Linked DNA regions of Drosophila melanogaster. Changing the gene in region 1 together with any one later gene gives a genetic interaction. Each region holds a gene or a part of one and is shown in the gene's direction. Other genes may lie near its edges. The genes, in order: Ets97D, capu and srl.

What was found.
Region 2: of Ets97D (region 1) and capu, changing one enhances a phenotype caused by changing the other (phenotypic enhancement), as found in Drosophila melanogaster (one study listed by BioGRID).
Region 3: of Ets97D (region 1) and srl, changing one enhances a phenotype caused by changing the other (phenotypic enhancement), as found in Drosophila melanogaster (one study listed by BioGRID).

The regions. Positions count from the first base shown.
Region 1 is NT_033777.3:26,907,824-26,917,559, reverse strand, and holds Ets97D (Ets at 97D), read left to right. Parts: upstream 1-4,673; 5' UTR 4,674-4,799; coding exon 4,800-4,863; intron 4,864-4,940; coding exon 4,941-5,055; intron 5,056-5,116; coding exon 5,117-5,186; intron 5,187-5,241; coding exon 5,242-5,956; intron 5,957-6,017; coding exon 6,018-6,448; coding exon of another isoform or gene 6,449-6,508; 3' UTR 6,509-6,785; downstream 6,786-9,736. Other genes in the region: T48 (transcript 48), read right to left, coding at 7,093-8,084.
Region 2 is NT_033779.5:3,898,066-3,908,028, reverse strand, and holds the start of capu (cappuccino), read left to right. Parts: upstream 1-5,168; 5' UTR 5,169-5,434; intron 5,435-9,963. Other genes in the region: fred (friend of echinoid), read left to right, coding at 2,442-2,470. UniProt on the Drosophila melanogaster protein: Acts as an actin nucleation factor and promotes assembly of actin filaments together with spir. May play a role in intracellular vesicle transport along actin fibers, providing a novel link between actin cytoskeleton dynamics and intracellular transport.
Region 3 is NT_033777.3:4,420,509-4,433,422, reverse strand, and holds srl (spargel), read left to right. Parts: upstream 1-4,087; 5' UTR 4,088-4,448; intron 4,449-4,799; exon of another isoform or gene 4,800-4,873; intron 4,874-5,222; exon of another isoform or gene 5,223-5,303; coding exon of another isoform or gene 5,304-6,254; exon of another isoform or gene 6,255-6,393; intron 6,394-6,422; 5' UTR 6,423-6,443; coding exon 6,444-6,541; intron 6,542-6,594; coding exon 6,595-6,700; intron 6,701-6,770; coding exon 6,771-7,592; intron 7,593-7,658; coding exon 7,659-9,490; intron 9,491-9,549; coding exon 9,550-9,695; intron 9,696-9,758; coding exon 9,759-9,958; 3' UTR 9,959-10,940; downstream 10,941-12,914. Other genes in the region: eIF3a (eukaryotic translation initiation factor 3 subunit a), read left to right, coding at 1-906, 957-3,195, 3,255-3,304; CG31525 (uncharacterized protein), read right to left, coding at 5,304-6,254.

The DNA.
Region 1 (9,736 bases):
TGCCGCCTGATTGGGCACCATTGAAATCTAATTAATGCGAAATGTGCAGCGAAAAATTAAACAAAGGCAAATTTATCGAGTGGGCTTGGTGTAAATATAGTTTATAACATCATACTTGCAGTGGCTTTTTAGTCACAAAGTAGTAGGCGACCCATTTACCCAAAGGCTCGAGCATAAACTGCCTTTTTACATGCACAGTAAAAAAATTTATGGTAGTCTTGGGCAATTTCTCACAAAAGATTTTACTGAAAAATGTATCATTTTGATCTGTGGTAAAACATCAAACAGCGTGTCAACACGACATTATGAAAATATGATATTATTCATACAAAACATCAATAAAAATGGCACTCGACATTTTTCATTCCCAAGAGAATGAAAATTAAATATATTTTCTAAGATTTTTATTTTATTATTATTTTATAAGATCTCCACAGGAAATTGAAAGTTTGGAAAGGAATTAGATTAGTAGATTAGCAAATGGCCAAACAAGTGGTGTCCGTTGCCAGCCGCCAAGCCTCTGATGAGCAATGGTGGTGCAGGTTTGGACACCCACGCCACTTGGGGCACCAGCAACCCAAAGAACCAAAGAGCCACCCACGTGCCACTTTTAAGCGCCGGCTAAGAGAGAGAGCCTGCTGCCACTTGTTCGGCGTTGCATGGAAATGGAAAACACTCTCGTGCTGTTGCAACACGGAAAAGCGAAAAATGCTGCCGGCGAACAAGAGAAAGAGAGAGCACAGGAAATTTCCCAGCTGTTTCATGTGGCGGGGCGGTGGGTTCATTTCACAGGAGGTGAAAAGTTCAAGCACTGCAGCAGGCAACGTCCTTGGGAATTCCAGCTGCTGTGGAGCACTCGGAACCGGCATTGCATTCGGCCGAAGGACATCTTTCGCAGCAAAATCAATATCTGCCCGGGTCACTTCGGATTCTGGATTGCCAACTTTCACATGTTACCAAAAAATTCGAAATCAATTCAAACGATTGCCAAACTCACCTCGTTTGATTTTTCCACTTGGCTGGCACAACACAATTCGTGGGCTTTTCCTACAGCTTGCTGTGCATTTTTCAGATTTTTCAAGCAAATGATTTTTTTCCAAAATGAAACAAGAAATTGTAGCATTATTATTATGTGTTTTTTTTTTTTTTTGGTTATATGCATTTGATTATATGCAACTTTGCAACGTTGCCCGTTACACTTTGATTGCTGATAGCGTGCATTTGGTGAGTGCGTGTGTGCTTTTGATTTGGATTTGGATTTGTTATTTTGCTTTTGATTAGAGCGAAGGGAAAACGAATGCAAATCGATGGAAACCGACTATTGTTGTTCGGCCGCCAGGGGCAATGTCACGCAGCTAAATTTGTGCTGTGTTTTATTTATTTTCGTTACATATTTGAAATTTAGACCGCCGGTCTTTTGTTCGACCGTTTTGGCTATGAAAGAAGTTGAATTTTTAGTGTGTGTGTTTTTTTTTTTTTTGTTCATGTCTGGCTAACTAGTTTTCAGCCAACGCTGAAATTGTGTTCTAAATGGCAAACAAAACGCCCACACAACAAATTCCGCCCACTTTGTGGTAGTTGCAAAAAGGCAACAAAAGCGCACACGCACGCTCTCAAAGATAACAGCAAAAAAGTAACAAAACTTGCGTACTTAATCAAATAAGCGTTATAGCAATCGCTTTTGGCCAGAAACAAAACTCGCGAGCGGTCGGCACTTTTATTGTTTCTGATATTTTGGCAACACCCGCGCTCCGAAAAAGTAAAACCGTCGCGTTTCAATTGCGCCACAAGACTGTCGTTCAATATTGAAAGCGATGCGAGTTAAGGCACCCAGCCAGCTGACAGCGAACATGTTCGAGTTCGAAAGCAACCGCTGCCGTTCCGGTGCGAACAGTCGAACTTCGAACACTCGAAATAAATTCAATTTAAAGATTCTAAACATTTGTAAAATCATAAAAAATGGATTACAAAGCTTATTGCCTCAATGGAGGGTTACTATTTCAAACAAAAATGTCAATGTATGTGATTTTAGGCATACATGTCCATCTTTATTTTTATTTATATTTTTAAAAACTCTTTATACTTTGAGCACTTAATGTTTTTGAGTGCATAGTGCTCAATGCCAACCTATATTAGTGTGTATTTTTTTTGCTAAGTAAATCATAGCACATGCTTATAAAGGATATAACTGGCTAAAAGTATAAATCTACATCTATAATATTCTTTATTATCAATCAAAAGGAATTTTACAAGTTATTCACAAACGAGGATGGAAAAGTACTTGAAAAGTACAATGATACAAGAGAAAGATAATAAATATCCGCGAATAAGATACAATGACTCAGATGGGTTATCCGCAATTGAAAGCAAATCATTTGAACAAGTGTTGGCTACCATAATTTGGTCAGTGGTGGTGACACAATCGCAGAATATTAATGAATCCCAAATGCAGAAGTGACTCAATCAACGAACGGTGGATTTATAATATCGGAAATAGCCAAAAGATGATAGATAGCCCATTTAGAAGACCACAACCATGTCCTGTTTCTTGAGCAACCACTTAAACGGTTCATCAATAACGTGACTGCACTGCCCTCAACTGGCCAATAAATAATGCAGACTTGTTTCGAAAAACCAATAGCAAACTAGTTCATATCCTGCCCCCAATTCGAGCGAAGGTTTCTAGGTGCAGACCAAAAAAAAAGGCACCATAACTCACTCGAAAAAAAAACCAATTAATTAAAAACCAGAAATTATGAAACGAAGAGCAAGAAAGCTGAAACGAAAACGCCGACCGCCTTTGAAATGTCCTTGCAGCAATAGCAATAGCGATAGCGATAGCAATCCTTAGACGACCCAAATACTGGCCATTCAGTATGGGCCACGGAAATGCAAATTCTCCAAGTCCCGGGCTCTGGTGCTCCACTTTGGTGCTCAGCGTGGGAGTTGTCCCTATTGATTTAATTCTAGCCATCCAGTGACGCAATTCCGTGGAGTTGAACGCTCGGCGGACAAATAATCCAGAGGCGAAAACCCCAAGGGGTTGTTTTCCTTTATTTTTCTTGTTTTTTTTTTTTTGTGTTTTTATTTCGACGGTTCTTGGCAGCCGAATATATGGGAATTTCTGGCAGTCAAAGGCGCCACAATGACTGCGCATAGTTTTATGTACGCTAACGGTTTTGAGTGAGTTTTCCACGTTGTCATTGGGCTGGTTTCGTTCATCTGTTTGTTGCCCCATTGCAGCTGGGTGTCATGACCTAGACAATTTTCGGTCTGCATAGATTTCTATCTGCCAGAAGGTCAATGCGGCGTATACTTAACGTGCAATGAGATAAGTCCTCATTAGCATATAATGAGTAATAAGGGTTTGTGTGGTGAGAAAGAAAGATAGAAATTTCACTACCACTCACATCTAATAATATCCAAATGAGACGACTTTGACAATGACTCAACTTCAAATGGCTGGAAAGTACGCAAAATGAAACCAAAAAAAAAACTGACCTGAAGCGCCTGAATTTGACCAGCTGGCTAATATTAGTCAACAGCTTGGCAAGTAAACAAAGCAGAGTTAGTCCCCAAATAAAACAAAATCCGCACTCTGGCTTGTTAGTTTCCCTCGTTTTCGGACACGAAACGGAAAGGGGAAAATGAAGTTGCAAGGTTGCACAATATGGGGATGATGATGTGCCAGAACATTCGTGGCAGACATTGAATCACTTATAGCTAATACCGAAATCAAAATCAAACATTGTCATCAGCAAGATATTCGCAAGCAAATATCGTTCATCTACTATGCCAACTGAGTCAACAGCATGAGGTAATGCTCCCAACTCCGGACTATTCAGGCCGGGAGCCGTCTTTGTCCATATCTCGGTACATGGTACATGGAAAAACGCTTGTGTTAACAAGTACTCTGTGCACTTGAGGCTGTCCTCTGCTCCATAGCACAATTGGCATTCATTGTCCCGCCGTTTTGACCCACTGATCGTGTTACGGGGCATTTAATCAGCATTAGCTGAAAATGAGCAGCACTTGGCCACTTCACTTGCCTGTGGGAACACCCAAGTGCTTCCTAGTCAGGCCGACGCACAAACATGGCCAATTGTGTCGGCCAATTGAGTCTTGCAGCGAAAGAAAGTGGCGAAAAGATATCGCATGAAGAGCAAACCACTCAACCACAAGTGGGTGTCTTAAGCATCGACTTGTTGTTGCGAATTGAATTCCTCAATTAATTTCGATGGCATTTCTAGGAAATCACTTGAGGGGGCGAGCACACATTTTGTCACCAGATTGCTAATTTTTATAGATCGTTAGGCTCAAAATATTAATAGCTGGTGATGAAAGAAATTTTTGATCAATGAATTTCCACACAGGAAAAGGGAACTTGAAAATAGTTCAAAACTGGCAAAATATTTGCCAGTAAAAACTATAACAAAATCATGTATTCTTTTAAAACTAAATAACAATTGATGTTTTTCTTTAAATATATATGATGCTATTAAGTTTTTTCATCATTAAAGCAAATATTGTATTTCAGACTTGCTAACTTACATTCATATTTACATTTTTTCGAAACTTTTATCACTTTTAAAAGAACCGCCAGAGTTTTGAAATCTGATAGAATTGGTGGCAATACTGGCCAGTGACTATGCAGCCCTGTACCAACGCCACTTAGTATTATTCGGTATTGCCACACCCGACGTACACGGTCACACTGAAGATGCAACAATAAATCCACGAGACAAATTTGTTAAAAACATTTTGTTAATATAGGCAGTTATTTGCGATTTTAAGCCGCGATGAACAGCAGCAATGACTTGTCGGACGAGCTAATACGCCGCCTCAGCGTTGGCGGTGCCCTGGGTAAGTGGAATGATGCCATTTCCCAATTGGGACGCACCTGTTGTTACACCGAATTATTAATTGTAAACAATTTGCAGAAGAAGTGATTGCCAGCGAAATGTTCGAGGATAGCATCGATGTGGAGACGGAGGCGGAGCCGGACGACATCATCATCGTGCACATGGACATCCGGGAGCCGCTCAGCATGCTCAAGTGAGTCTGGCGAAGACTGGCCCCCATTAGTCATGCAAATAACCCTCATTTCTACCCACAGATCACTTGTTGAGCAAAAGATAGGAGTGTGCCTGAATTACTACACGTTTTGGCTGCAGGACGCGCAGGAGGTGAGTCTATCTGCGGCGTAATAAAATGTTTACCTAAGCCCCCACTCTCCTGCAGCTGGAATCGCACAAGAATCTCGTGGACCAATGCGTCAAGGGAGAAGGCCTGGTCCAGATCAACGTGCAGATACAAACTATTCGCAAGCGCATTAACATCGCCGACGTCCTGAAGCCCACGGAGGCCGCACTGGCTGCCTTGGCCGAGGAGGTGGTGGGCCAGCTCTCGCCGCCGGAAACGGCCAGCCAGAAGAGTTCCTCCAGCGAAAGCCCCATCAAAACCCCACTCAAGCGCATGCACAAGGAAGACTCCGAAGAGGAATCCGTCGAGGGCAAGGATGTCAAGCCAGTCTTGAATTGGGTCCTGGACAGCAAGTTTAAGCGAGAACAAATACGCCTGAAGATACCCGAGGCGGCCAACGAATGGACACACGCACACGTGACGTACTGGCTGGAGTGGGCCGTCAAGCAGTTCGAACTAGTTGGCATCAACATGAGCGACTGGCAAATGAATGGCCAGGAACTCTGCGCAATGACGCACGAGGAATTCAATCAGAAGCTGCCCCGTGATCCAGGCAACATCTTCTGGACCCACCTCCAGCTGCTAAAAGAATGTAATTTCGTGTCCGTAGTGCACAAACGAGCGGAGGAGCAGCGTAAGCCCAAGCAACCAAGAATCATGTCGGCCAATTCCATATCGACCAATTCAGGGGGCAGCCTTTCGCTTGAACAGCGGATTATGCGGAAATCCTATCAGTCAGTCAAGAGCTCTGATTGTAAGTAGACGTGTGAATGTTACACCAAAGCATGAGCTAACAATATCTACTTCGTTCACAGCCGTTGAAAGTACTACGTCATCCATGAATCCATCAAACTACACTACCATCGGTTCCGGGAATAATGGACAAGTGCAGCTATGGCAGTTCCTACTCGAAATACTCACCGACTGCGAGCACACGGACGTTATTGAGTGGGTGGGCACCGAGGGAGAATTTAAGCTCACTGACCCGGATCGAGTGGCACGCCTTTGGGGCGAGAAGAAAAACAAACCCGCTATGAACTACGAAAAGCTATCAAGGGCTCTCCGCTACTATTACGATGGGGATATGATCTCCAAGGTGTCCGGCAAGCGATTCGCATACAAATTTGACTGCGATTTGAAGCTATTGATCGGCTATGATGCGAATGAGCTATCCACGCTGGTCAGCGAGGGGAAAACGGCGCCCGAGCGCGTAGCCGCAACGGAAACAATTACAGAAGACACGTGACATGGCGAGCTGAAGCTCAAGGAGGAACCCGACATACTCTGGAAGTACGAGGAGCCTTAGCGTTGGCTGACTTGGTCGGATGACGGCGCCTGGTTAATAATACAAATTGTTACATATTTTACAATCCTAAGGCACACGATTTTATTATCCATTTCGTATTCGCTAAGGTTTATAATCTCTGTCTACATAAGCTATAGCTATAAGTATCGCGTTTATACTGCTAATCATCTTAGTTATTATCTGAATAGTATTTCTATAGTGTGTATATTGAATATTGTTCGTTACATGATTGTTGCGATTTTTGTAAAATCCATAAAACTAAATTCATTTCCACGCGATTTCCATTTGCATTTGCATTAGCTCCTTCTCCTCGGCATCGTTGTGTGTTGATGGTTTTGTTTGTGATTTTACGTGACTAGTTTGCTTGCTTAACTGATCTAACTAAGCTCTAAGCGTGGGCATTTAGCGGCTCCGGCTAAACGGCCTCCCAGTTAGCTTGTCGAAGTCGATGATGGCCTGTCGGAATGTGCACGCAAATGCTCCATTCCCCCAGCTGAACTGGCGCTAGACTCGAACGGCTAGCGCCGCCAGCCGGGGTAATACTTAGTTTGCATTAAGTTTTGAGTATGAGTTTTGTGATGCGGTTACAGCTCCGTGGTGATCTCGTCCTGCGGTCGAAAGCCCAGCTTGTAGAACTCGTCCTCCAGCCACAGCGAGCTGGCGTTGAGATCAGAGATGAGATTGCCGCTCTTCAGCGTGTTGAAACTGCTGCCGAAAGGATCCGAAGCCCGCGGCTCCTCGAACTCGTGCAGGCTGATCAGCGAGCCAAACAGGTGTAGCTTCTGCTGCGCCGAGGCACTGCTGCTCCGATCGCCGGCCATCAGTTCGCCCACTCCCTGCGGCGTCGCCGTGGGCGTCACCTGTTGCCGGAAGATGCTGGGCTGCTGCAGTTGCTTCTTCTTGTTCGGCGCAGCGTAGAGCACCTCGTGGTGGCCAGCACTGTGACCGTGTGAGGCCTGAAAGAAGTCGATAAGCTGGCCCACCTGCGGCTTGTAACGCTCCAGGGCCTGCTCCGACCAGGCATAAAGCCTGGACCAATCTGGCGGCGGGGCGGGAATCAGTTCAATGGGCCTGTTTAGCAGAATCAGCAGCTTTGCCAGATCCCGGACGATGGGCCTGTACGAGTTGGCAGCCGCCACTTCACCCGACAAATAGAGCTTCCTGATCTGCCGCCGGGTATCGTTCAGCATGGCCAGAAAGTACTCCGCATTCGGACGCATCTCGTTTAGCTGCCTCATGAAGTCCGCCCGATCCATGGTGTTCTCGTTGATGAGCTTCTGTTTGATGGACTTTCGCCGCCTCTTCCTCTTGACCAGCATCACGGCGACAGCCAGAAGGGACAGGCAAACGAGGAAGCCACCGAGAAGTCCGGCCAGTGCGGCCATCAGTGGCCCAGAATAGCCGGTGGGTACACACACCCGACCCATGAACTCCGTGTGGGCGGACCACTGGTCCAAGTAGCCGGCGGGGCACTGATCCACGCACTGCCTCGTGTCCGTCACCAGGTACATTGGGCACTTGATGCAGCCCACCTTGTTGCAGCGCAGGCAGTGGGAACTCGTCGTCAGCGGGCAGCCTGGGGAAGAGAACGAAGCAAAGGGAACTGGGTTAGTCACTCTGTGGGTCATTATGGCTCCCTCAATTAGCGCTGATCAGCATAATTGTCCCCTCATTTGCATAGAAGCACACAAGTCACAGCACTCCCACAGGCAATTGTCCACGCTAATGCCGACGAATTAAATCATTCCCAGACTTTTCGGGAGGGTAATTCCCAAACTACACTAAGCAAACATTTCTAAGATTAGAGTCTGGTTATATTCCATAAATTTCCCCAATGAATTGGTATTCATAAAGCCAAGGAATAGAACACATATTCTACATTCTCATGAACTGCAATTTATGCCAGTCAATAAGACGACGATCCCTAGCGAAGCCAGAGCAATTGAACTCTAACTATGATGTCAAGATCCGTCCGCTCTGAACACATGACATATCTTAAACATCTTTGTTTGCCATAGATCTTCGCATAGCTCTGCTGGGGCTTTTGTGCCGTCGCTTGTTTCCCTACGAATTCAAGGTAACGTCAACAAACAGTGTTTGACTTTTGGCTGCCCAAACCCAAACAACATTAGCATATCACCACCCCCTGTCCGCCCTGAAAAAAGTGTTGGGCAAACAGAGGAGGAGATACATATACATATTCTAGGAAGACGACGAAAACTGGGAAAGTTCAACATGATAATACCAGCACAGGCTGATGCCAGCGGCGGCTTCGGCGGCTAAAACTTCGTCAAGATCAAAAGCTTGCCAAGCCGCCGCCAGTTTCTGTTGTCAACCGACCACGACAACGACGACGAAGACGAGGAGACGCACCGCGACTCCCAAACAGGCCAGAAGTTGCGTCTTATCTGAAGGAGCCCCTGCCCAATATATCTTGATACTGGATTGCCAAGGAAAACAATAACATCGCACCACGTACGCATCCAGATCCCGTCGGTCGGCCCATTGCAATGCACTTGGCGTCTGTCCAGGTGGTTCAGCATCGTCATCATCAATGGCATTAACTTGTTTATGCGCTAATCAGACACACACATCCCCCAGGCGGGAGTTGGAACTGCACTCCCATACCCCAGATCTGGCATGGATCTTGAATCTTGAATCTGGCATCTTCAATCCTGAGAGCTGTGCCCATGATCGCGACCATGGCAATGGCAATAGCAATGGCAATGGCATTGGCAATGGAAATGGCCAATTCCCAGGCAGAGGCGGATAATCAGATGTAATTCGTAATTGATATTGCTCAGTGGTCAGTTGGCCAGTGTTCTGTCTTTTGGTATTCCAGCTCGGGTCTCTGGGGACTGGGCGTGCAGTTGATCAATGATAATTGGTTATTAAATGGATGATTGCCTTTAGTCCGCCTGTCGTCGTCGCCGACTTACAATTCCAATTCGATGGGCGTGCATCTTCTTCAGGTGATCATGTAAATGTTCTGGAATTGCAGACTGCTGTGATCTTGAAGCGATATAAATAATGATATCGACTGGTTGGGCCCGTGGATAGACCCCAATGATACAGCCCATATATGGCAAATCAATTTGTCCATTGCTATGAGTTGAGTTCAAGCAATTCTCGAGGAGATCAGATCAAAGATAGAGAAGGCAGATGTGCCTATTTGCCGCATAAATCTCGGTAAATCTCAATACAATCGATTTTTAGTCGCCGCCATTC
Region 2 (9,963 bases), on another chromosome or scaffold:
GGGTGTTGATGTCCAGTTCGAAATTCCGTGAATTTCAGTTGGCGTTTGAGTGATTAAATTTCTAGGGAGCTGAAATTGATTTGATTGGAATGTGAAGTGGAAGAGCACAACATTTAGCAACAAATGCACAGCGTCAATTAACCCGTATTAGTAACTCAACTTTGGGGAATATAAAAAATAAATAACATTTTAGCCGAATTTTATGTGTCCCCAATCCCATAAATATCAATAAAGTCTCTTTTCCCTATCGAAAATTCATTCAGCACGAGAAGATTTTCGAGAAAATTAATTACATGAATATTGAAAAATCCGGTCAGACAAATCAGAGCCGGGAAAATCATAAATTTTGGGTTATCCATTAAATTTGTTGGTTGCTCGCTCGGTCGGTTTGTTATTCCTGTTGATTAGATTTAGCTTTTTGTTTTCGGCTTCTATTTGCATTCCCTGTGCGTATCTTTATTTGTTTGATTTTGTGGCTTTCGGAAATATAAAACGAAATGCAAAAATTAACAATTGGAAGCATATTAACCGCATCAATTTCCGTACGGCGACGGTTGCAAAAACAGCAAGTACACAGATCATTAAACATACATTCACACAGATACTACCACGCATACACCTTCCACATTATTTATTACGCCACGGGGCGAAAGCCACAACTTTCGACAAATTTTTTGGCAAAACATTTTACGTAATAAATTTATTTTAATTACAACGCCAAAAGTGTGGCGTCGCAAGGGGCGCAAGGGCGGTTGTTGTTTGCTCTGTGTGGTTGGTAATGAATGCGCTTCAATTAAATGAAATATTCATAGGCATAAATACAAGAGCAGTCCAAAAGCATTCTGGTTCGGGGTTGGGGGAGTCAAGGAAAGTTCAGGTAGCAACACGGACTACAGCATCCCACCAACTGAACGCATCTTATAGCCGGCAAACATGTTTTATGGGCCAACAAAAGCCATTGGACTATCATCATGGTGGTCCTGCAGATGGGTAGGAGAAGTACGGAGAACACAATTTCTGGGCTGTAATGGGGTCAACATTAACCGACTTTATAGTGGGCTGACTCGCAATTCAATTACAACGATCGCAGAATACCCTAGCTGCTAAAAGTCAACCGGTGTATTCAATTAACAAGGCGTATATATGAAATAATAATATATTAATATGAAATGTAAGGCAGATGAAAGTAGAAGAATATATGTATTGATTATTTATATCCTATAGAGCAAAGCCGTCGTTCCAATTTTATTTAAATATTCAACAGCTTACATGCGTTTAAACAAGCAGGTCGCTTCACACTTTCCCTCGAAAAGTAAGATATTAAAACGGGAAACTCATTGCCAGTCCATTGGAGCCGCTTTGCAGCTTGTTAATTATGGCCTGGCCAAAATGGTTGGCTAAAAGGCGAGCCAAGCGGTGGATAGGGGTTGGAAAATCGCGAGGAGGAGCAGACATAAAAAGGAGGGGAAAAAAAAGGAAAGGACTCACCGCGTGTAATGCATCTTTTCAAACAATTTACCAATTTGCCGTGTGACCAACTGGCCTGGCTCATAAAATGTTTATTAGGTAATCAAACATAACAACAAGCGGTCAAACATAAAGCTCAAACGACTGTGTCACATTTTGTGAAAGGAAACCGTGAAGCGTTAATTGAGTTTTGTGGGGGCTGGAGCGAGACATACTGAATGCGGGGAAAATCTGTGCGGAAAATGCATTGCGGCTTTTGCGATCAGATACATTTTCGCTCCGCGCAACGCCACCACGCATTCAGAATGCATCAGAAACGCATTCGAAAGTATTTTATTGTGTGCGAGACGCGCCAACGAGATTTTCCACAAACCACTTGACTCGGAAAATTCAGAAAATGTATTTATGCAAAAGTCGCAATTGTCAGAGGCAAGTCAAAGTGCATAAAGTGTCGCCTCGAATCGGCGAGAAAGGGGGAAAATATTTTCCCAAAAGTCTCGCACCTCGGCGGATGTGAAGTGTTTTGGCATTTGAAGCGAGTTTTCGAGATGGCAACGTTCAACACGCCTCAAGTCACACATAATATGGATGGATAGGATATAAAAGCATAGAATAGAATGCGGTTGAAATATGATGGAGGATACATAGAAATAAAATAAATACAACTGCATTCGGCCCATTCAGCAGCGCATTATGCTGATTGAATGCAAATGCAATACCAGCGAATTTCTATAAATATACATATAAATAAAAATATAATGCAACCAGCTCGTTTGACCCCAATCTAAAAATCCAAATGAAATAGCTGCATAAAAACTAAGCCCATCTCTTATTTTTTGCGCAAATTAATAGCTTAGTGGAACAGCCCCCGCTCACACACGCATTAATTAATTTAAATTGCATATTTCACCATTATTTATTAATGAGCTTAAATCGCACTAAACGCAAATCGATTTTTGCCTCTCTCATTGCAGCGGATATAATACAGGATTTGGCAAATTAAACTAATTGCCAGTTGAGAGACAACAAGAACAAGATAAAACAAAAAAAAAAAGGCAACCAAATACATTTCGACATAAGCATTTGAGTAAGTAAACATAACAAAAAATATATAGATAAAAACACAAGCAAATAATCATAAAATAAAATGAAATTTTTTAGCTGTTTAAGTGGCGTGAAAATTGCTTGCAATGCAAAATCAACATGCAAAATAAAAAATCCTTGCCTATTTCGACCAAAAAACAAGAAAGAGTTCTGTAAATTTAAAGAACCGAAAGAAATACGAAAGAGAATAGTAACTACAACTCCAATTAGGTTAAGAATTAAAAAAAGTAATTCACAAACCTAATAATTCCCAAAGGAAGTTTTTTAGCAAGAGAACAAATTCTCGTAAAAATCAATTTCTTCTTCAAATATGAGTATTGACTTTTAAAAATTTATAGACTTCAAACATTTTATGTTCAAACATGGGTACATTTGTAATAGATAGTGTTCAAGCGAAAATCGAATGCAGTTTTCTGATTCAGCCCACGTTATTTTGCTCACTGCTTATTCTATTTATTTAAAAATAATAATACTTTTTCAAAACTGTGGCCAAAATATTGAGGTTCATGGCGACAAACTGCAAAACTACCGCCATAATATTCTGGTCAAATCATTGTTAAACCGACAGCCAAACACAAAAGCCACCTTTGAGGTTTCTATGCATTTTTTTTTTTAAATATGGAAATTGTTCTCGTTTAAATCAAATAAAAGAGACAAAATGTTCATTTAATTGCTTTTCCGCCCAGTCAGCCCAAAATGCAAAATAAACATGACCAATAAAAATCAAACTTCGACACAATGCGAAAAAGGGGAAAGGTTGGCAAAAGTTTTTCGACTCCTCATTAGCTTTTGTCTCCATTGGGGCATTAAATTGGAACGAATATTTGTTTGCTCGGTTCGACTAATTGCGCTGCTAATTTCAATTGTTCGCATTGTCGGCAAGCAATAATAATGCAAAAATTGTAATTACAAATTAACAATTGGTCGTCTGGGTCCCTCGGTGACCTAAAATTAGATTGTGTAAATTTGCAAATTAATTTGCCATTGCACAAAGAGCTCCGTGCAATTCAGCTCGGCAAAATCAGAGCACACAATATCAATTTATTTACTGTGCAATCTGTAAATAGTAGAACATGGAGTCATTAAATTGCAACTGCTAAAAAAAAAACTTGAAAATTTAGTACTGCCAGTCAAAAGTCCAAGTGAGTTGCATTTACATAAAAATAGGCTAACAAAAAAAATATCTACACAGCGTCATACAAGACCGCAAAAATATGGAAATTCAAATAGAAACAGTATCTTTTAGCAAAAAGAGAAAATCTTTAAAATAAAATCATAATAGCCGGCAAATGGAATAATCAACAGACATCAAAACGAATTCGAATTAAATTTTAAACTGCGGGAAGCTTAAAACCGATTTTGTAAACTACAACTGGGTGAAAAGTTCAATACAAATACTTTTATTTACTTTTCACCTTCATTTGTGAAAGGTGATTACCGAAAAATCATCAGCCAACTATAGCAAAACTTTCTCCCAACTTGCGGATGAAACAAAAATGATACAAATTCCTTTTTGCTTTCTTTTTTCGCTCTAAAATTATAAAATCGAAATGGGTTGTAAAAACAATCAGTTGTACAGAATTCTTTGCTTGCTTTCGATTGTTAGTAAAACCCTTGAGCACTCAGTGATATTGTAAAAATACACAAAATATTTAATTGCACAGCAAAGTATAAAAGAAGGGGGAATTATCTTTAATCCAATACTTGTTTAGCTCTGTTATGAAATATTTGAGTAATAAATCCACATAATTGATACTTTTAACAAACAAAATAAAAACGTAATATGTGAGCATTAAAAATGAAAAATGTATCAGTATTTTATTTGAATAATTGCAAGCGGAAGCAAGGAATTTAGTAAAATAAAATAATTTCGTTTTTGAATGAAGGTTACATAAATTTCTCTTAGCGATAAAAACTATTTAATGGATATTAAAGATTTAAGGACATTGTAAATAGATAAACAGAGTAAACCAAAGAGTTTAGAAATTTAATTTGAAATAAATGTGTTTAAAACATAATCGAAAATATTTATTAGAATAGTGAATAATATCTGCATTTTTATGAATGGGTTACTGTGGCGTTGAGTAAGATACATCTATAAATGGTATTTCTTATTTAATTAATGATCTTACTTTTAACTATGTATAATAAAAAAATAGTTTTAAAAATAGTTAAGGAGTTTTATTTAGTCCCCGAACAAACTCAGACCACCCACGCATTTTTCAAGTATCCACCTAGATATAAACAAAGATGTACTGGTAATCCAAAACCAAATATGATCAAAATAGCCAATAACTTTAGTCTAAGTCTGCGACTATATTAAACTGTCCATTTTCGTTCTATAATTTTTACTCAAACTAAATGTAAACTATTAAATCTGCTTTTAAAAAAAAAAAGAACCGAGAGAACAGAAATGTTCACGCCAGGCGATTGAAACATTTTACTGACCTTTTTAGTGCGAAACCAAAAGTTTAAACTAATTTTAATTGTAAACCTAGACAGTAATGATATACGATATATTATACAATGTAAATCAGAATATACGATAATTATAAAGTAAATAAAATGAAATTTAAAACAAGCAGTTCGTCTACACCGTTCAATTGGGTTAGGCATACAAAATTCTGTCAAAATTTGTGTAATTTTTCGTTTCCTTTTTTTTGTTGTATATCGTTTTGGTAAGATGATTGTGTATCCAATGGAAGAGCTCTATCCGGCTATGATGGTCATAGCCATCACATTGTTAGCCCTTCTGCAATGGGGTATTCGTGCCACAATTAAGCCCAAAATATTGGGCCCACAGAAAAACGCAATAAAAAATGGAGTAAACAACAAAAGGAGGAAAGTCCTCTCCGCCATGCAGGTAAATTGAAAAATGTTTGCAATTGTTTTTACCATCTATCTATGCTCTTTTTGCGGTGCGCACAATTAAGGTGGAAAAATGTAGATCGACTGTCAGATATTCTTACAGAAACTGAATATATTTTGCCTATCTGAGCATTAAACAACAATGACCATTAATGATTTATCAGATTTAAAGACCAGTATATATGTATAATATATAATTAATAATCTTCATATATATTATTTTTAATTACTACAACTTAGGCACAACACTAGTATTTTTAACAATCATTGCACTTAACAGATTTTTGTTTTGATTTTAAAAAGTGTATTCAATTATTTCGCAACTTTAAAACTCAATTTTTGTGGAATTTTATTTTTTGACTGCTTGGCAACTCTGACCACCAATGCGTGCCTGTGTGTGTGTTGCTTGTCAGTCTGCGTGTGTGTGTGAGTTTGCGCTGCTGGCAAACCGCAAAATGGTGACATTGTGCAAATAAAAAACAATTTACGATAAACATCAAATTTCCACAAATTACCTTATATTTTACGTGAGTTGCGAAACAGATTGTAAAACGCGAAAACACACACAAACCGAGGGAAAAGTGAAAAAAAAGAAAACCGCGATTCGCAGATTTTACACTGCAATGAACATTTTGTTTCACTGTTCACCATTGTTTGCCAAGTGTGGAATAGGGGCGAGAGGTTTGGAAACTTGGGGGCGTGGCTAAGAGAGGTGCCACTTTAAGCGTGCCGCATGCCCCCACCTGAATCTCGAATTTTGCAATTATTTTTATTGCTCGCCATTTTGCTCGTCTGATGTTTTCCACGTTTTTTTTTTTCACCCCCCAGCTGCAACCTGACGGGGGTTGGGGAATGTGTTTGGGGGCAGAATAGAGGTCGTAGGCCATTTCGAGGGCCCTTCATAAATTTCCACAGTGCGGAAGAAGGAAAAAAAATTATTCTTTATATGAGGGAAATAAATAAAAAAATGCTTGTTAAGCTGCGGCGCTGTATGTTTGCGCATAAAAAGCATACAAATTATGCAGGCACTGTAAGAGATTAAAAACTAAATAAAAATAAGTGTGAAAAATTGCTTCCTAAATATATAACGAGAAACCCTTTTCAATCTTAAATAGTATCATTGATCAAACTTTTCAATCGCACCTTTATCAACACCTCAGATTTTCAGAGCAAAAGAGATTTGCAGCCATCTTGACATTTGTCGGCCAGTATGAGGCGCCACTTTCCCACGATTTTCCATTTCGAAGAGCTCATTCCTGCCCCCTAATTGATGTCGCCAGGTGTCGTCGAACCACATAAACAGGGCTCAACGGCAAAAAAAAAAGAAATCCAGAACAGCCAGTTCACTGGCCGCATTGTGCGCCAGAGGGCCAATAATTAGGAGTGTCTTTAAGATGGGTCTAAAAAATGATAAGAGGGCTGGAAAGCAGATAGCGACATGACCAACTCAAATAGGCAGCGGGGAAACTTGGCCTAGACTGTGTTGACTTGCTGGCCAATGTAATTAGGGAGCATTAGGATTAGACCGACTGTTCCCAAGCAGCGGATAACAAAGCACTGCACAGAGAGAAGATAATTAGGTCTAATTTGTACTATTAAATATACTTCTTTAAAGGTATTAAATAAAAATTCTACTTAGCTCGTGGGAATATCAGAAATTAAATGCCAAGTAGTTGTTAGAAAAATATTGAATAATCCTGAGAAACATACTTCTGATTTTCAGTGCAAACGCAATAAGCCAACTAAAACTTGGCCAACGGCAAGTTGGAGAGAAGGAGCAGAAAATGTGGTAAACTTTTTGCTGTTTTGGCGTAAACAAAAATAAATCAATTTCTTGGTGCGCACAATTGTTAAGATAGTAGATAGGACAGAGTCCATAACGACAGGACCGAACAACAGGATAAGTCCGCAGAGTCATGTCAATGGCCGGCGGCTTTCGAGAAATGGAAATTTCGAAAGACGCCAGGCATTTTTCCTTAGATTCTTTTGCAAATATTCCAAATTCAACGGAAAGTGGAATAATATTTGCACGACTTGCGTATGTAAAGCCACTTATACCTGGGACCATGCTGATTGCATTTGGAAGTATTTTCAGGTGCCTGTGGCAAATTTAAATATTCAAGTGACCTTTAAGAAGAAGTTTTTATAAACAAAAACAATTTAAACATTTCTTCTTGGCACAACTCATATACAGAGTTCCGTGGATTTCCGTGGCATCGCCGATAATTATTTCTTGAAACATGCTAGAATTCAATTTCTAAAACTCCAATCAAATTACCAATATACACGTCTCGAACAGAAACCTAATTTGAATGCCAGCGAAGCGGGTGAAATGTAGTTAACTTTCAGTCGATTTAGTTTGGTTTCGAGCTCCCTTCAATAACCCTTGTTCTAAGCTCCAAGTCCCCCATACCGTCACCATTAGTTCTTATTCCCCGGGTTCTTGTCGCTATTTCTGCTGTTCCTGCTGTTGCATCGCATTCTCATTGACAAGTTTAATTGATGGGCGTCAGCGTCAGCTTTTGGCTTCAGCTCGACGGAGTTTGGGGAAAAGGCCATGGCCAAGACACCATCCCGCATACCCCACTTTGCCCATCACACTCTGACCCCCGTTGTACAGTACACCCTCGATTACCGGAATGGCGACGCGACAAAACCGCAGAATCTAATTTGGCACAAACCACCAAAGCAATTAAAGTTGCAGCTCTGCAAACGGTGTCCGATGCGAATGTTCCCCAACTGTCTATCTGTCTCTGTCTTTCCCTCGGCGCGTTTGTGTGTGTGTGTGTGTGTGTGTGTGTGCGAAGGTATCGGTGTGGGTGAGTCCCTGTGTCGGTGAGGTGTCACTGCTATATGAATCGCGATAGCAATCCAGAAAATATCACACTTTTGACCATTATGCGGCTTAAAAATGAAAACTCAACAGAATCAGTAACTAAAGATTGTTTTATGAATAAATACTTTTAGAATTGTTCTTTGAAACTTGTTCTGATTTTTGTATCTTTAACCACGCACCACACTCACCGTTTTCAAAATGGTTTTTCACAGTTGAAATTAACTAGAGGCAAATAAAAATTAGACCCATTTGTATCTACAAAACGTGCAAAATGTGTTGTCACTGCAACCAGAATTCATTTGGGGTACCTGTCTCTGGCATTTTTGGGGTAATATGTGGTTGTGGTGGCTGCTGGATTGGGTGGCACGGCTATAATTTAAAATAATTTTCATTTTGTCGCAGCACGCACATTTTTTTGGTCAAAAAATAATTTTTCGAGACCCCCAAAAGTGGTTTGTGCAAAATTGAGGTTGCATTGCTCATTTTTCGAGATACATACAAATTATGTTTGGAAGTCAATTTTGAAGTGAACCAGCATTCCTGCTGCAGTGTACATTTTTGGCCTATGTTGTAGATACTTATTATTCAATAAATGGTTATTTATTCAGAAATATTCATTTTGTTCTTTTAGTACTGAATATGCGTTGTTCAAATTTTCTATTCATTCTGAATATACCGCCTGTTCTGGTTAACAACCAACGTTGCTAACCGCTTTTGACCAATTCCGTGCAATTCCACGCTGTCATCTTTGAGGCAACAGCCGCTGCTGCCCTGTAGGCCGAGGCCCCAATCGTATCGCAAAAATAGATACACCGCAAAAAGTGTATACAATTAAGATTCTTGATTGCAAAGCAAAAACGATATACGATATAAAATATCTTATTCACTTCAAAAATCGTTGATTAGATAGGAAATAAATAAAGCGTGTTATTGGCAAGCATGAAGTTGAAATGTTGTAGCAATCTAAAATGCCACCTATTTTTTTCGGTGTACCCTCATCACAGCAGCCGAATCGCTATTGCTGGCGCTTTCTCATAGTCGCATTGCTTTTTATTGACCATAACTGACTTTGTCGTAGCATCTGGGTTAAGACTGGGCAAACGAGGAGCGTTTTAGGTGCCCCTGTAGCGTGCTGCATGCTCCGGCCAGCTGATGGTTGTTGTTGCCATTGAATCTATTTGTGCTTGAATCAGACGTTGTTCATACGCCCTGTTGCGGCGACATTTTGCGCACTGCCAGAAAGCGCAGTTAGTGCAACATAGTTGTGTTCACTGCACCTGCGAATGGGTGACAGTGGCGCACAAAAGGGGGTGATTCTGTTTACACATTCTCATCAAACTAAAGGCAACACAGCTTCTACAAGAGAAAGAGTTTTGAAAACCAAGAACATATAGAACTGATCTATTCTTATTCGAATATACAACTTATCTTGGGCTCTGAAAATATTTATGCTGGCTATGGCACCGCCCCTGGTTCTTTTGAATTTGTGGGCTGCTTCGCCAGAAGCTTTACGTTGCCCTTTGGCATTAAACTTGTGCGTCAGTGGCACAAGTTGCCGTCAAGTTTAGCTTTGATGATTCTCTTACCTGCAACTCCTGTCTTTGTCGACTTTTTCCGGATCCTTCAGTTTGTATCTTTTGTTGGCGCCGTATGCGAGTGTATCTGTGTGTCCCCGGCGTCTGGCAATT
Region 3 (12,914 bases), about 22 Mb from region 1:
CGGAACATGTTCCAGCTGGTGAACGTGAACTCTCTGGAAAATGTAATCCGCGGCTACCTGAAAATGGCCGAAGAGCACACAGAGGCTGCCCAAGCCCAGTCCTCGGCGGCCGTTGCTGTTCTGGAGCTGGATGACCTGGACAACATTGCCACGCCAGAGAGCATCCTAATGAGCGCAGTGTGTGGCGAGGACGCACAGGACCGCTCCGACCGCACTATTCTGCTCCCGTGGGTCAAGTTCCTGTGGGAGTCCTACTGCCAGTGTCTAGAGCTGCTGCGCGTAAACACGCATTGCGAGGCGCTGTACCACGATATCGCTCGCATGGCCTTCCAGTTCTGCCTTAAGTACAACCGCAAGAGCGAGTTTCGCCGCTTGTGCGACAAGCTGCGCAAACACTTGGAGGACATTTGCAAGAGCAGCAACCAGACCACCGGTGTCTCGATCAACAAGGTGGAAACGCAGCAGCTCTGCTTGGACACCAGGTTGTACCTTCTTGACTCGGCCATCCAGATGGAGCTGTGGCAAGAGGCCTACAAGGCAATCGAGGATATCCATGGCCTGATGGCTCTGTCCAAGAAGACACCCGTGCCCAAAACCATGGCCAACTACTACCAAAAATTAGCCATGGTCTTTAGCAAGGCCGGCAACCAGTTGTTCCACGCTGCAGCGCTGCTGAAGCTCTTCCAGCTGACGCGCGAGCTGAAGAAGAACCTGACGAAGGACGACTTGCAGCGTATGGCTGCCCACGTTCTCCTGGCCACTCTTTCTATTCCGTTGCCTTCGGCCCATCCAGAGTTCGACAGGTTTATTGAGGCGGACAAGAGCCCCCTGGAGAAGGCGCAGAAGTTGGCCGTGCTTTTGGGCCTGCCCCAGCCACCTACTCGCGTCTCCCTTATTCGTGAAGTGGTAAGTATCACGCAATATAGTAATGACTTATGACTAATTCATAAACACAGGTGCGCTTGAATGTTCCTCAACTCGTATCTGAGGACTTTCGCAATCTATACAACTGGTTGGAGGTGGATTTCAACCCACTGAATCTGTGCAAGCGCATTCAGTCTATCGTGGACTTCATTGAGAACGGGCCCGAAAACGCTCTGCTCACTCCTTACATTCAATCGCTGAAGGACGTGACTATAATGCGTCTGATTCGTCAGATCTCTCAGGTTTATGAGAGTATTAAGTTCCAGCGTCTCTTGCAGCTGGCCAGTTTTTGCAACATTTTTGAATTGGAAAAACTGCTGGTCGAGTCCGTGCGTCACAATGACATGCAGATTCGTATTGACCACCAGAAGAACAGTATCTATTTCGGCACTGATCTGACCGAGAGTCAACGCGAGTACCGCCCCGACGGACCCGCTTTGCAATCGATGCCCTCGGAACAGATCCGCTCTCAGTTGGTTAATATGTCTACTGTTCTGACACGGGCAGTTTCAATCGTCTACCCGAACCGTGAACGTGACCAGCGGGCCAAGCTCCGCAACCAGATGGTAAACCATTACCATGAGATCAAGGATCGCGAGCACCAGCGTATTCTTCAGCGACAGAAGATCATCGAGGACAGAAAGGAGTACATCGAGAAGCAGAATAATGCTCGTGAAGAGGAAGAGGCGCGGCGTCAGGAGGAGGAATCGCGGAAGGCCAAACTGGCCGAACAGAAGCGCCTCGAGCAGGAGCAAGAAGAAAGAGAGCGCAAGCGCCATCAGAACGAAATCCAAGCCATCCGGGAGAAGAGTCTCAAGGAGAAGGTTCAGCAAATCTCGCAGACGGCTCATGGTAAGAAGATGCTTTCCAAGCTGGATGAGGAAGGCATTAAGAAGTTGGACGCCGAGCAGATCGCCAAGCGGGAAAGCGAGGAACTTCAGCGCGAGGCCAAGGAACTGCAGTCGAAACTCAAATCGCAAGAGAAGAAAATCGACTACTTCGAACGCGCCAAGCGCCTGGAGGAGATACCGCTTTTCGAAAAATACTTGGCCGAAAAGCAGGTTAAGGACAAGGAGTTCTGGGAAGCAACCGAGAAGACACGCATCGAGAATGCCATTGCCGAACGGAAGGATGCCGTCGCCCAGCAGGAGCGTCTCAAGCGCATGTATCCGGACCGGGATGAATTCCTTGAGGCCCTTAAAAAAGAACGTGCCTCCCTCTACGTCGAAAAGCTCAAAAAGTTTGAGGCTGCTCTGGAGGCAGAGCGCAAAAAGCGCTTAGCCGACCGCATTATTCGACGCCGCGAGGAGCGCCGACAGGCCTTCCTTCGCGAGAAAGAGGAGGAGCGTCTTCGCAAGGAGGAAGAGATTCGCTTGGCACAGGCTGCCGAAGAGCGCGCCGCAGCAGAAGCCCGCCGTTTGGAGCGTGAGGCTGAGGACGAAAAGCGTCGTGCCCAATACGAAAAGCAGCGTGCCAAGGAGGAGGAAGCTGAGCGTAAAATCAAGGAAGATCGAGACCGCCTGTCCAGGGAGTTGGCCTCGGAGCGCGAACGCACTGAAAAGGACCGTGACACATGGCGTCCTCGAGGCGGTGACCGTCCAAGCGCATCTAACGGCGGATCCAGCGAGTGGCGTCGTGCTGCACCTGCGGCCAGTGAACGCAACGACCGTGGTGGCGAGCGTATCGAGCGCGGAGGAGAACGGATCGAGCGCGGTGGAGAACGCCTCGAGCGTGGTGGAGAGCGCATTGAACGAGGCGGTGACCGTGACCGCAAGGACAACGAGGGAGCGGACTCCTCTTGGCGTGTGCGACGAGAGCCAGATTCACAGCGTGCAGCTGCTCCCAAAGACAGTGGCGCTCCGCAATCGCGCGATGACAAGTGGCGGCGTGGCGGAGAACGTGACCGCGATTTCCGCATTGATGGGGCTCGTCGCGACAGGGATGATGGGCCTCGGCGTGACCGTGACGATGGTCCTCGCCGGGATCGTGACGATGAGCGCGGTGGATTCCGCCGCGCCGACGGGGCGCGTCGTACCGACGAGCCTCAGCGGGAAACTGGAGGGAACTGGCGCGACGCTCCACGCCACGCTGATCGGGAAACCCGTCGCCCAGCTGAGAGGCGCGACCGAGATGTGCGCGAGACTCGTGGCGATCAACGCGGCTCTGCTCCTAAGGAGGCAGCCAGTGGCGGAGTAGGCGGAAACTGGCGTACTGCTCCTGCGACCCGTGAGGAAAAACCAGCAGCTAAGCGCGATCAAGCCCAGGAAAAGGGTAAGTAATCTCAGCAGCAAACCTAATTTCCATTCTTATCAATGCGTTACATCTTTCAGAGAACAAAGCTGGCGATGATGGCGAGTGGACCAGCGTTAAGCGTCGTTAATTTTTATTTTCATCATCGTATATACCCAGCATAATATTCTTAATAAGTTTTTATTTCATCCGACTTGTACTTTATTGGTGTAGAGCTCAGTCGGCCGGTATATTATATCTATCTATCCAAAGCTTGTGCCAGATAGTTAAAATTGAGATGGTTGTAGGACCGATACTAATTAAAGTACTTTCGAATAAAATAACTATGTTCTAAAAAATTGAAAAGTGAAATTGTCGAATGAGAACCTTGGGAATCAAAGAAATGAAAAGTGGTTATTATTGGTTTAATTCAAAAATTCTAATTCTTATTTATCAGATTTCAGGATGAACCAAGCTTCCCTTATACGTACAGTGATTTATAAACCAGTCCCTTTAAATTTATATTTCGACAGAGCTAAAACTACATTAAAATGTAGTTTGCAAACTAAACAAATGCGGGTTCTTCTATAGTTTTACAAAGTTCGTTCTTGGAAGCGTGGCTTTTTAACATTAGGTTTTTTAATTGCCCATAAATAAAAAATGCATTCAAAAGTATTGTAAATTGTATTATCACATACGCTTGACTTATTTTAAAAAAGTGACATCTTTCTTAGGTAAAACCATATTCGTTGGGAATAAATTCGAGTAAATTTAGAAAAGCTTTTATAGCAAGCAAAACAAAAATATTCTGCCTCTGAAAATTTGCCTCGATAATATGAGCCCGCGCCTTCTTCGCACACTCAACTAGTATTTTCTTGCGAACTTGGCACTAATGCCATGGCCTCGCGGATCCTCCGCGGTGCGCGCCCCTGGTCACACTGTCTGTGCCGCTGCCGCGAATCTCGGTCCACGTGAACAAATTTTGGACAATGTGCTATACGGTACTCATGAGATAAAGTGATTGCGGGTTGCTTTGGAGTGCAGTGACGTTGGCCCATCTTAAACCGCGGGTGATCGTGATCTTCGGGCGGAACAGAAAGACGCAGTTTGACTGCCGCAAGAAAAAGCCCTTTTGGGCACCGGACTTGTGTGCTTGTGTTAGTGCTGCAGACGCGGCGCTCAACATGTGAGGTTAAAGCAGACGGCGGCAAAAATCCGAACGAACAAGCGTTCGGCTGGGGAAGCCCTTTTTCGAGTGAAATAGGTGATCCGGAACCACAACGGAAGCTCAGAAGGTAATATTGCTAGGCGCGTGCCACAGATTGGACATCGCGAATGCGATAGCGAATCCGCTGAGCTTTGGGGAGAAAGGCTTTCGAAACCAAAGTGCCAAGGTGATAGGCAAGACCTGCGAAACGTATTCATTCAACTCGATTGCTTTTCGCCAAGGAGTGCAGTATCAAAAGCACATGGCGTGGCGGCATTTACACGCACACGCGCCCATCGTGGCTCACATACACATACACGTGGTTGGGGCAAACATGTGCTGTTGCTGCTACTGCTGCTTCTTCTTTCCGCCATCGTCGTTGTGTGGGCATGTTTGTTATTGTTGTCGTTGGCTAAAACTATTGTGTTTTGTGTTCCAGGTCCATGTGTAGGTGATGCAGAGGCGCTGAAGATTGATTAAAATCATTTACACCCGTCAATCGTATAGTAGAGGGTATGTGACTGCTTCAATTTTCGAAATGTTAATTTTACCATTTAGGAAATCTTGGTATCTAGTGTCAAAAAACACCTTTCGTGCAGGCTTTCAATATTGCGGCCACAGTATTTACATCAATATATTGTAGATGGAACTTAAATTTAAAACTATTCAACTAAACTATAATAGTTTTAAGCAACAACTATCAGGAAAATATAAACATAATTTTGAATATATCGACAACCTTTCCCAGCCCAAAGAAAAAATCTTTGTAATGCAAAACATGAAGTTAAATTGTGCAATTCATGACATAGTTTTAGAGAAATCTTGTTTAAATGATTAAGTTAAGTCATTTATGACACGTGTTAAGGCTTTCTAAAGCTACATTTTTATTCCGGTTTCGGTATTTATTTACATTGTAATTTAATTTTAATGTCAATGCCTATGTTTAATTTTTACCCTGATGATGTGTCTCTGGCGGAGCTCGACGTTGTGCAAGTGTTGCATGCTTGTTATGCATTTTGTTGAGGATTCTTTTGCGGTCCATAGTCAGCTTAGCGAGTTGTTCCTCCACCTTATCCATCATTTCGGTTTGCAGATGTATACATGATTGGACACTAACGCCTCTGATCGCAAGTTGGCCGATGTGAAAAGACAACTGAGCATTGGTACCAGTTAGGACAAAGAAGCCTGTTATGCCAAAAATCCTAATAGGCGGTTTGGGATTTCTAGCTAGCTCAGAAGGCTTGAAGCATTTGACTTTAACTTCATTCTCCAGGTTATTGAAAACTGGTCGTGGCAACAGCAAATCTGCACCGTGATCAGGTTCCTTTTCCATCGGAATTGGGGATTTTGAACAGAGTAGGTTTCGTGTCGGCAGGACAGAGTGGAAGTGCGACTTAATTTGTTCGCAAAATTTGGACATCAATGGCACGCTGGAGTTTGGAGTTTTATTGGCCCCTTTATTGGTGTTCCTTGGAACCAGTGCAATAAATTTATTGTCCTTATCATATCCGGATGAAGTGGTATTTTGGAATTGTTCCGCGTCAAAAGCCTTCTTTTTTATTTCCGACAAGAAGGTTTTCTTGTGACTAGTTAATCGAATTTTTTGCAGAGCATCACACAGCTGAATTTTCTTTTCGGATTCGTGGATTGACTGTTCCAAAGACGGAGTTTTTTCCTTCTCATTCTTTCCATCTAAAGTCGTCTGGGACATACCTATATCTTTTTTCTTTGAGTATGTTTCCTTTGAGCTAGTTGAATTAGTCGAACGAGAGATTGGGGGAATCGGTATAACTTCTATTATCCTGGGCCAATTCTTCTGACTTGCTTCCTTTGTGGCCCTTAGCCGGGACTCTGCAGCTTTGCGTTGACGCCTTGTGATCACTTTTTTTGGCATTTCGTTTTTTTTTTTTATTATTATTTGGTTAACGGGAAGTGATTTTGTAAACTTGATTTTTCAATATGTTACAATCATATGACGATTGTGGATTGATATCGAAAAGGCAACTATGATTGGTTTCGTTTTTAGGAGTTCCCTATTTAATCCGAGTTTATTTGTTTACAGTTACTTAACTTTTGACGCAAAATGGATTCACGAATGCTAAATGTGTTCCAAGGAGATACCTTTGAGGCAAATTATACCAAATACGAGTCTGAGCCGATATTCTGGTCATCTAATGATGAGTGAGTGATTGTCATCAGAAAAATGTACTAAAAACTAATGCAAACCCTTTCAGACTGCAACTGACAGATACACTGAGCGGCATCCTACCCATCGCGCCCACAGACGAATCACTGCTCAACCATAACCGGGAGGAAGATCTGCAAAACAGAAAGAATCTGGTAGGTTTTGGCTCGAGGGGCATACGAGCGAATCACATTTCAGTATTAATTCGATTAACTCTTTAAATAGCTGATTTACAACGACTTTCTGAAACAGGAGCTCAGCAACCATGATGCCAATGAGCTAAATGCCCAGGTCTATCGGTCCATCGCCGACAGCGGGGGCGAGATTGCCTATGAGCAGCAGCGCCAGATCAGCGCCATTGTGGAGTACGACAAAGAAGATATTAAAATCGACGGCCTTACGGAGGAGGAGGACATACAAAGCCAGTCCACATTTCGCACCCGCACAGACAGCTCTTCGATTGGTGACTATGAATCGCACTCTAGCGACTATGATGATGAATTTGACATTGTCAACGAAGAAAAAAGTCCAAGGCTGCAGGTTGTCCATAACAATATCGGCAACTTGCAGAGCTCCTGTGAGCGCAAGGGACGGACGCTCAGTACTAACACTATTATCTCCGAAGTAGACGCATTGGGGCTAAGTATTGATGTTAATAACTTTGACCTAGCTGATTTTATTACCAAAGACGATTTTGCTGAGAATTTAAACGCCTGTCGCAAAAAGGAATCTCTGCAAGCACAGGCGCAAATTAAATCTAATACTTTAGCAGATGTTCCCATACTTCTTAATCCACCGGTTGCCACAATTGTGGCAAAACCCGGGGTCCCATCCTCTAAACCTGGCGATTCTGATTATGACTCTGACTCGATTATCGACGTTGAAACTGTCGATGTACTCGATATGAATATGGCCAATATCTGGTCAATAGATAAGCCGGCAAAAATGGGCCAAACTCCCGATGAATTACGCTATGTGGACAATGTAAAGGCCGATCCCTCTTGGAGTCCGAGATCCGCAAAAAAGACCACACCTACTATCAAAGAGGTAAGTCCTATGACGACATACTAGTTAAGAAATTCTTTATAACAGTAACTGTCATACTCAAAACAGAATAAGCCGGAACAACTGGGGAACCATCAGCTCGCGGTCCCAGCATCAAACAAACCGAAGCATAAGAATATTTGCCTGGTGCCTAATAAAAAACAGTGCGATTTTCTTAAACGTAAGGTTGGTAGTCCCTCCTTGTCCAAGCTAACTAAGGCGACAACAAAAAAAGCGACTGAGTCTATGAGCAACAAGCAGCCGTCAGTAAAAAATACTCAATGCACGGGTCTCGGATTGGGTGGAAAAAACCTTTCGCTTCTGAAGCAGGAGAGGGACGCCGCATTATCGGTGTGTGCTGCAAAACCTATAGCACCTCCAACCCTTTCGACAACAACCCCGACTTTGACACCGCCAGCAAAGCGAAAGCTAAATCTAGAGGAATATAAACAGCGTCGTTGTGGCGGTGTGGGGGCTGTGTATCCTAAACCAACTCCGCCCAAGCAGGCGAAAATAGAGGTTGCCGCCAAACGCATTGCTCCTACCCCGGTTTCAAAACCAACACCTTCACCAAAAAAAGCGGAAATAGTCAATATTGTAAACAGCCTTAAATGTCCTCGCACAGAACAATCTTCTTTGCCCATGGATCCCATTACCATGGCCAAGAACAAGGTGCTGCGTATGCTAGAGATGAAACGTGCCCAACAGCTAAAAATAATCGATTCCCGCGTATCAGCCAAGGTGCCACGCGTAACCAAGCTGCCGCCACTTAAGGATATTGTAAAGGACACCTACTGCATGGAAACTGAGGATCCTGGCACAGAGATAGCGCCACTCAGCAACAAACTCCACCCGGACTATGAGGAGATTATAATAGTTTCAGCTAGTTGCAATACAGACATAACAATACCTCCCAATCAATTAAGCAAGGCCTCCCCTCGCTCTCTCTTAAAGTCATCAGTTTTGCTGTACAACATCTCAAACGGCCAGGATGCCAATAAGAACATGAGCAACTCCCTAATAGCCAGCATCCAAAGCGAGGTCGCCAGGCAAACGAGTAACACTACTCTCTCGACGATACAGTCCAACGCAACAAAAGTTATGTCTTCCGCTGATAAGAATTGTCAGCATGGCGAGGACATGGTCATCATGCACTTACCCAAGGATCGGGTGCGAAAAACTCTTGTGAGCATTGCAACCCAAACTGATCTGCAACCCGAATTTCCCCTATTGACGCTGCCCCCAAAGCGACAGTCTCGAGAGCGTACGCGTCGAAATTATCGCAGGCGACGGACACAAGGCTCGGGCTCAAATATGTCCACTTCTTCGAGTGACTTTTCCTCCGACTGCAGCAGCTTGGTGTCACACAGATCTCGCTCACAATACGATTCGATTGATCAGCTGCGTAACTTAGATGTAGCAGCCACGTGTGGGGGCAGTATTGGAAACGGCGGTTATTCTTCTCGTAGCACTCAACGCCATCGCAGCTCGGTGAGTTCTTCATCTTACTCAGAGAATGGACAGTACAGGCGCAGGCAGCGCCGCACGAGTTACAACAAGCGTAGATCTAGAAACCAAAAGCGGGGCAGTACTTCCTCGTCATGCTCGGGCTCCGAAAAAAGCGATCGCGAACGTAGCCGCAGCCCACACAGAAAATTGCGCCACTCGCGGTCCCGGTCGCGCTCAAAATCTGATACACGCTACCCTAACAACAACTCCTCCTCCAATAACAACAATCGGCGAGGATTTTTTGATCGTAACGTGTCGCAACCGGCCGTTGAAGAGCGGCGAATCGTCTACGTCGGTCGCATTGAGCAAGAAACCACCAAGGAAATTCTGCGTCGTAAATTTCTGCCCTATGGAAGCATTAAACAAATAACAATACACTACAAGGAAAATGGGTAGGAAAAGAAAGGCCGCAAAACTATTTAAAAAAGACATTTAACGCATTTTATTTTAGAATGAAGTATGGGTTCGTTACGTACGAAAGAGCGCAGGACGCATTCACGGCCATTGACACGAGTCATAGAGACTCGCAAATAAGCATGTATGACATAAGTTTTGGAGGAAGACGTGCCTTCTGTCGTTCATCTTACGCTGACTTGGGTGAGTTTTTTTTTACTTTTTACATAATTTTATGTACGATTTTATCTAATTTGTCTTTTATAGATAATGCTGGCATTAATAATTACAACTCGTATGTGTTTCCCAAGGAAGCACCAGCACCGAATGTAGTCGAGGACTCTTTCGAAGCTTTGTTGCTTCAGGTAAAAGCAAAGTTAAACGCGGGCAAGTCACCGGTAGGTTCATCTACGCTGGAGGCACCATCAGCTTCCGGTACTGTACTTCAGGGCCACAGTCAGATGTGACATTTTGGCAGAAACCGGCTTAATTTCGTATTTTTAATTTTTAATTTTTTTGAGAATTTGAAGTATGTTACAAGCATTCTACCACTATCCTTGCACAAGTGTAGACCAATTTCCGAAGTCTCTATCTATAAACCTGAGAAGCCTGATTACAATTCTTAATTTATCTTAAAATAGTTGACAGAGCTATACAATGCAAGCAATAAAAACATTGCAATGTACATTAGGATAATTGTAATTACCGTGAAGGAAACCTAACAACAAGAATTGAAAAGAAAATGAAATTGTGATAACCGCGTAATGCATACAAAGTCATTTAAAGCACGTAAGTTAAAAGAAGATCAATAGAAATAAACACACTCATAAAAGCTTTGTAATAATCTATTTATGTAACAACCAAACCAATGGGACTTAAAACAACCAGCCGCCACAACAATAATAACAACTCAAATTCATTAAAACTATAAAATGTGTATAAGAACGTTGTATTTTGAGAGAGAGCAAGGAACGCGCATGCAGCATGCGTCGGCCACGAATTAAACTGTTGATAACTAAACTTTGATATTAGTTTGTAAAGAGCATATTTTGTACGTACTTTTAATTTACTCCGTAATTTTTGAATAGCAATTACATCAAATACAGAAGCTCCACTAAAGCTATTATAAATACATCAAAATATAGTTTTGAAATTATTAGTTAGGCTTCTTTCTCTTTTCAAATTTTATTCCGTAATTTCTAACAAGCACTGACTGACAAGCCTGTGTATCACTGTTACGATTTATTTGGACTAAGCTAAAATTATAAATTTAAAATAATATAATTAGTTTTTGAAAACAATTTGCCAAACAAGATTTTGAAAATGAATAGTTTAAAAACTATGGCCGAAACGTTGTGTTTTTAGGAACAGCCATCTCTTGTTTTTTATATTCTTTTGTACTTTTGGATAATTTAATAAATCATTTTTAGTTCGAAAACAAACCGAAATAAAATCAAACATTTTTTATTAATTGAATGATTTAGTAAGATGATGTAATGTAAGTACGCTGGCAAGACAAGAGTATACGAAATTCTCCAGACTATCGATCAGATACATTTTAATCCAAACGGTATTTTTCAAAATGTGTCCTGCCTTTTTAAAATAAAAAGATTTGCCATTTGAGTTATAACTCTGGCCTGTTTGCCTGTTAATACCAGGTATTTTCATATTTCACGGCTATCGTTTTGACCATTTCATTGTGTTATTTCTGTGTTTTGAAATTCTGTACTTAATTTAAATTAAAATTTTTAAAAGCGTCCTTAAAATTGGGTGGATATTAAATCATTGATTATATCTAAGCAGCTTAGGAAAAAGGCATAAAAAATCCGGGAATCATTGCTTAAATCCCATGCCCAATTGAATAAATTCAAAAACGCATTTTTTTTAAGTAAGCCATGTCAGGTTAGACTATGACTGTGTAAACTAGAGCTGTTCTCTGCTGAACTAGCAGGTTTTGCCAAAAGTGGTGAAAACAAAGTCCTATAATGAGCTGTTTAACAAATTTATTTCAGTACTGTAAAATATAATTTTGCTGCAGAGATACAATAAGGCGAACAAACCGAAAAAATATGCAATTTGAAAAGTCTGAGGTGGCAATCAATCCGCATTTTTATCAAGAATTATTTAATACTTTTACTTTAACTTTCTTTCTCCTAAACCATCTTAGTTGTTGTGTTAGCATCCAAGAGCGCTTCGTCACTACGTGGACTACCACATAGTGATACAAAAATAATAATAATAATAGACTGATAAACGAGCTTGTACCTTGAACCAAGCGTGTTTTGTCAAAGTCTGTGCTCGTTCTAGTGTAATGATTCGTGACCGTTGTTTTGTTCAATTCGGGTGTTTGAATCTAACCGACTCGCTGCTGGGAGGGCTTCGCCTTTTATTCATTCTTAAATAGGTTCTTATCATCTAATTATATAATGCAGCGCTTGTAAGACGCCGCAGTCTGCGTTGATAAATGCAGCTGAGTTTTATTCTTAAATCTATGTTTGAGGACTATGACCGCGCTAATCACCTCCCGCGAGGTAATGTAATATCTCTTGACACTTCGGCAATAGGCCGCTGCAATCGTACTTATCTGTTGTTGCCACTTATGCTGTCCAGTGACATGTTTATTGCAGCCCATAATTAGAACATATTTATAGTTTGCCTACTTATCATGTCTAAACACATATTTAGACACAAAGTATATACTATACACAAAGTATATATTTTTGATTAGTCTGCACAGCCAAGTCGAAATAGCCATGTCTCTCTGTATATCTACGCAATCCAGTCTCTCAGTTTTAGCGCTATCTGCATGAAACTTTCCCAAAACTCAACATTTCATTGCAGATAGTATGCAACTCCGAGCTGGACTATTCCTATTCCATAGGATATCGCAGAAGAAATGGAAGACATGAAAGGGAGTCAGCATTGGCAAATCAAAGTTTTGTAATCCGGTGTACGCCAGTTTTTTATCATTAACTGTACTAGATCGGTGTATTTCTGTGAATTAATTCACAATTTCTAATACAAAAGGAAAATCAAGTGTCTATAATCTATTCGTCCCACTTATTTTGGTTGCTACATTCATTAGTTCACCTTAAACGACTCCTTGGAAGGCCTGTGACCTAATCCACAAGAATGGCCAATCCTCCTCTCTCAAAAGGAAAGTGAGTCAACATGCCTATGCATAAGTGTTTTTATGTAGATATACTGGCAATGAAACTGGGAAAAACAATAAACGTTTGAAGGAAACCAAGCGAAACAAGGCGCCAAAACAACACATATCAAATTTCGGCTTTATTATAAATCTTAATGCCGTGCCCAAATGGCGGTGGATTATTATTAAGTTTAAGTTATGATACGCTTTGGCACCTCGTACCAGGCACAATATTCCCAATTATTGTGACTCTAGGAAGATGTTTTTGTTCT